Linked DNA regions of Mus musculus. The protein of the gene in region 1 interacts with the protein of each later gene in a pairwise test. Links are inferred from orthologs where the notes say so. Each region holds a gene or a part of one and is shown on either strand. Other genes may lie near its edges.

Region 1 (2,280 bases):
ATTTGGGAGGCTGAGGTAGGAGGATCTCTTGAGACCATGATTTCAGGGCTAGCCTGGGCTATGTAGTGAAACCCTGTTGTAATGAAAGAGAGGGGGAGGGATAAAAGGAAGGGGAAGAGAAAAGGGAGGATAGGAGAGAGAGAAGTAGGAAGAAAGGAGGAAGGGGAGAGAGAGGAGGAGAAGGAAGAGAAGAAAGGGAAGGAGGGGGTAGGAATGAAACAAGAACAAAATGGAAGGGCAAATTCTTGTAGGGCTAAAACCAGTTTCTGTCAGTGAATGAATGACTGGAACACAATTCCTCAATTCCTCTGGGGACTGAGCAGCCACTAGGAGGCCAGAGAATCAATCAAAGCTCCTTGTTTAGGCTGATGGACGTGAAGAAAGGTCTTTGGGACAGGTATTCCTCTGTACCTCATGGCCTCTGGCGAGCAGACCTAGCTATCCTGAGGGTTCTTTAATTTGCCCCCGCTTAGGTGCCCCTAGGAAGCAGCGGCGGGAGCGGACCACATTCACCAGGAGCCAGCTGGAGGAGCTGGAGGCCCTGTTTGCCAAGACCCAGTACCCGGATGTGTATGCACGTGAGGAGGTTGCTCTTAAGATCAATCTGCCTGAGTCCAGGGTCCAGGTAGGATGATCTGCTCCCTGGACCCCTCATACCCTTACTGTAACTTTCTGTGGGCCTGTGTCAGATCCAGAGTGGATGAAAGAGAGAAGCCAAGGGTAGCAGCCATATTTATGAAGTGGTCTAAATGCCCCTCACGTTCCATATGTCACTCTTCTTATATGATGCCCTGTGTATGCCAGGTGTATGCTCTACCACTGAGCTACATCCCTAGCTTTGGTATTATTATATCTATATGTAAAATTGCATGCATATGTGTACTATGAAATTGGCTGTATCATGTATCATGATGGCATGTATCTATGCATATATGTACTTATGCATAGATACATGATTGCATGTATGATATGTGACTATAATGCATGTATGATTACATATACATAATCATGAGTAGGAGCATGTTAATATAATGTGTTCATACGTGCATGACTGTATGTATGATATGTGAGTATAATGCATGCATTCATAAGCAGGAACAAGTAAATATAATATGTTCATATGTGTATGATTACATGTATATATGTGAGGACAATACACAATTGCATACATATTCATGGGATCAGGTGGGTGGCTGAATGCATGTATGTGTATGTGTGTGTGACTGCATGCATATTATGTGAGAATAATGTATGATTGTATGTATGCATGTGTGATCAATCAGGTAGGTAGGTGATACATGATGACTGGTATATGCATGTAGTGTATAATTGCCTGCATGTATGATATGTGTGTGTGATCAGTGCATGTAGGTTTCTGTGTGCACGTGTACATGCATGATTGGACAGGTACACAGATCATGGACAGAGCTGCCCTATCATTGGATGCAGAGTGGTGATGTGTGGGTCTTACCATCAGCTTTGTCTGCTCTTGGCATGTGAGTTCACTCCCCTTCCCCCCATATTTCCTCTCTCTATCTAGGTCTGGTTCAAGAATCGTAGGGCGAAATGCAGACAGCAGCGACAGCAGCAGAAACAGCAACAGCAGCCCCCGGGGGCACAGACCAAGGCTCGTCCTGCGAAGAGGAAGGCAGGGACATCCCCGAGACCCTCTACAGATGTTTGTACAGATCCTTTGGGCATCTCAGATTCTTACAGCCCATCTCTGCCTGGCCCCTCAGGTTCACCTACCACAGCAGTGGCCACCGTGTCCATTTGGAGTCCAGCCTCAGAGGCTCCTTTGCCTGAGGCCCAGAGAGCCGGCCTAGTGGCTTCTGGGCCCTCTCTCACCTCAGCCCCTTATGCCATGACCTATGCCCCGGCTTCTGCTTTCTGTTCTTCCCCTTCAGCTTATGCATCTCCAAGTTCCTATTTCAGTGGGTTGGATCCCTACCTTTCGCCCATGGTGCCCCAACTTGGGGGTCCGGCTCTCAGCCCCCTCTCAGGCCCCTCTGTGGGGCCATCCCTGGCCCAGTCCCCCACCTCCTTGTCAGGCCAGAGCTATAGCACCTACAGTCCTGTGGACAGCCTGGAATTCAAGGACCCCACAGGCACCTGGAAATTTACCTACAATCCCATGGACCCTCTGGACTACAAAGATCAGAGTGCCTGGAAGTTTCAGATCTTGTAGAAGGGGCTTCATATCCCCCCTTCCAGCGGAATCACTCTTTCTGGACTCAAGCTGTCTCCTCCAGCTTAGATTCCAGGAGAGTAGCTCTCAGC
Region 2 (3,526 bases), on another chromosome or scaffold:
AAAATGTCAGTAAGGGCCAGGTGACCAGACAAAGTTACATAGTAAGACCCTGTTTCAAAAAAAAAAAAAAAAAAAAAAACCAACCAAACAAAAACATGTCAGTAAGTAGGAATCTGCTCATATCTCCCTCCCCTTGTTTGGTATTCTTTTCTGTGGTATTAGGACAGTTATTTATTTGGAGTTAGGGTCTCACTCTATAACTCTGATTGGCCTGTAATTTGCCCTGTAGACCAGGTTGGTCTCAAACCTTTAGATTTCCACCTGCATCTGCCTTTTAAGTCCTTTGAAGAAGGGTATATGCAAACAGGCATGGGAGTGGTTTTGCATGCCACATTACTGTCTAATTCTTGACTCCATAGAGAGGATGAAATTGGCCTGGTGCTGGATGGAAAATATAATTCCAGCCTATTCTATCCAGTACTTGAATGTGCTTGATTTTTTTTTTAAGTATGATAGTTTAAGAACTGTTGAAGGCCCAAGCAGTGTTGGCACATGCCTTTAATCCCAGCACTCAGGAGGCAAAGGCAGGTGGATCTCTATGAGTTCAAGATCAGCCTGATATACACAGTGAGTTCCTGGATAGCCAGGGCTGTTACAAAGGGCTGTTCCCTGTCTAGGAAAATCAAACAAAATATTGAAAGATGATGAGCATATTATTCTGGCTTGCACCTGTAATCCCAGTACTCAGGAGTGGGAGAATTTCCTTAGGTTCTAAGCCAGCCTGGGCTACATGGAAATCTAGCACAGATGGGCCACAAGGGCTGGTGAAGTGCTAACAGCAGATGAGAGGCACTTATATAAGCCTATGAGTTTCAACCCTGGAACCCGTGTAAATGTGGTAGGAAAGAACAAACTGTACAAACTTAGTCTTCTGCCTCTGTACACTTGTCATGGCATGTGTGCTCTGTATTATCTTGTACACACACTGAACATTAAAAAACAAAAATACCTCATGGAGACGGGCACAACTCTCAAGGCAGATGCAGGTGAATCTCTGGAGTTGAGGCCAGCTTGTCAACATAGCAAGTTGCAGGCCATCCAAGGATTCATAGTAACAACCTTATTTAAAAGAAAAAAAACCCACAATTTATTTTGGGGAGAAAGGGAAGGTTTAATATAAAACTTAAGTATTTTGTGTGTGTGTGTGTGTGTGTGTGTGTATGTATACACACACACACATATGTATATATGATGTTATATATAATACACAGACTATTTCATTCTCATTGCCAGTTATTGTGTCTGTGTATTTCGTGATTTCAAGATATACAAACAGTAGGATTGGTAAGGTGGCTCAGTAGGTAAAGCCACCTATTGCCAAGCTTGATGACTTGATTTTGATCCCTGAGAACTACATGGTGGAAAGAGAAAACCAACTTAAGTGGGTTGTCCTCTGACTTCTACACGCATGTCTTGGCATGTGCATGCCTATACCCCAATAATTAATGTAAAAAATATAAAACCAATATGCTAACAGCAGAGTGTTGACTATCCGTTTTAATTTTAGGAACCCTAAGGACTCTGCAATATGAATAATTCTCTAGAGAACACCATCTCATTTGAAGAGTACATCCGAGTAAAGGCGAGGTCTGTCCCGCAACACAGGATGAAGGAATTTCTGGACTCACTGGCTTCTAAGGGACCAGAAGCTCTTCAGGAGTTCCAGCAGACTGCCACCACCACCATGGTGTACCAGCAGGGTGGGAACTGCATTTATACAGACAGCACTGAAGTGGCTGGGTCTTTGCTTGAACTTGCTTGTCCAGTCACAACCAGTGTTCAACCACAAACTCAGCAAGAGCAGCAGATCCAGGTTCAGCAGCCACAGCAGGTTCAGGTAAGAGGAAATATTTAGTTGGAGCCTGTTAATAAACTTTTCTCTTCTCTCACAGTTTAGGATAGCTACAACACACCTATACAGATGTTAGAAATGCTGGAAGTTATTTTATTGTAGTGTGGAATCTTTCATATTTAATATGGACTGATAATATCTTTAGCCATTGTAAACTATAAAGTCCACAGATACTTATTTGCTTTAGAGAGCTTGAATAGTACAGAAAAGTAGAGGCCAGCACTGCATTTGAATGTGAGAGCTTCAAGCTGTACAGATAGTTGTGAGCCTTCATATGGTTGTTGGGAATTGAATTTTAGGACCTCCTCTTGCTCCAACTCTCCTCCCTCAGTCCTTGCTCGCTCTGGCTCAAAGATTTATTTGTTTATTATTATTATTATATATAAGTACACAGTAGCTGTCTTCAGACGTGCCAGATCACTTTACAGGTGGTTGTGAGCCACCATGTGATTGCTGGGATTTGAACTCAGAACCTTTGGAAGAGCAGCCAGTGCTCTTACCCGCTGAGCCATCTCGCCAGCCCTTATTTTTTTATTTTGAGACAGGATTTTATACTGTATTCCATGTTGTCCTGACTACCTTCAAAGTCAAAACATACTCTTATTTCAGCTTCCTTAGTTCCTGGGATTACAGGTGAGTACCATGCCCAACTGCATTTCCCTCATTAGTGATCATAGAGAGTAAGAAAATTCCTCACAATAGCAGGGGGGAGAAGAAGAAGATCAAACCCCACTAAATGTGGCTGGTAAAGTGGCTCAGCAGGTATAGTGCCTGTAGCAGAAATAGTGACCTGAACCCAGTGCTAGAACCCATAGATGAAAGAAGAGAATAGATTCCTCAAAATTGTCCTCTGACTTCTCTGCACATACACTGTGACACATGTGCACCCATATATTACATTAAAAACACATGTAATAACAAACATGGTTTTAAACCTCTCTAAATTTTAACCAGGTGTAACTCAAGTGTAATTTATGCTCTCCGAATGCTGACACTACAAAGTAAGATCCTGTCTGAAAGAAAAGAGAAGCAAGCCACTGAGTCTTCTGACCATGATAGCACATGCCTGTAATTCTAGAATTGTGAGTTCTGGGTCCATCTTGGTCAATTCTGAATAATTGATAAAAATAAAGTACAGATACAGAATAAGGTAACAAGAGAATTGTTGGGAAGAGGGAAAAGTTCTCTGGATTTACCAAGCTGAGATCTAAATGTTACTTTGAATGATCCTCTATAGATAGACAAAGATTGGGTACTGAACAAGCATTTTAAAGCATACATTCATTCCTCAAAAGCTGTTAGGGATTCTAAAGCAACCATTATCCCTCGAGTTTTGAGGAATTCATTTTAGGATCCCCTGCAAGCTCATATTAAAATGGCATTGTAAACCAACACATATTTTCCTTGTATTCGTTCTTTAAATCTTGTCCAGGTTAAGTATATTACTCAAAACAACTTATGTGCGTGAGGTGTTTGTGTGTGCATCTCTAGAGGTCAGAGGTTGATGTTTGCTTATTTCCCACATCTTTGTTTTTCTCTTCCTCCTAGTGACATTCTCTCTCACTGAATCTGTGGCTCACTGAGTGGCTATTGTAGCTGGCTAGTGAGACTCTGGAATCCTCTGTTTAGAATTACCTGGATATCATACTTTTCATGTAGATGCTAGAATTCTAA

What was found. The genes of interacting proteins can lie anywhere in the genome.
Region 2: the proteins of Crx (region 1) and Qrich1 interact in binary tests that used the Homo sapiens proteins (3 or more experiments, as listed by UniProt). The two-hybrid records come from large-scale screens. The link is inferred for Mus musculus from reciprocal best matches to the Homo sapiens genes CRX and QRICH1.

Annotation. Positions count from the first base shown.
Region 1 is NC_000073.6:15,867,688-15,869,967, reverse strand, and holds part of Crx (cone-rod homeobox protein), read left to right. Parts: intron 1-473; coding exon 474-625; intron 626-1,540; coding exon 1,541-2,188; 3' UTR 2,189-2,280. UniProt on the Homo sapiens protein: Transcription factor that binds and transactivates the sequence 5'-TAATC[CA]-3' which is found upstream of several photoreceptor-specific genes, including the opsin genes.
Region 2 is NC_000075.6:108,527,082-108,530,607, forward strand, and holds part of Qrich1 (glutamine-rich protein 1), read left to right. Parts: intron 1-1,507; 5' UTR 1,508-1,528; coding exon 1,529-1,837; intron 1,838-2,806; exon of another isoform or gene 2,807-2,904; coding exon of another isoform or gene 2,905-2,934; intron 2,935-3,526. UniProt on the Homo sapiens protein: Transcriptional regulator that acts as a mediator of the integrated stress response (ISR) through transcriptional control of protein homeostasis under conditions of ER stress.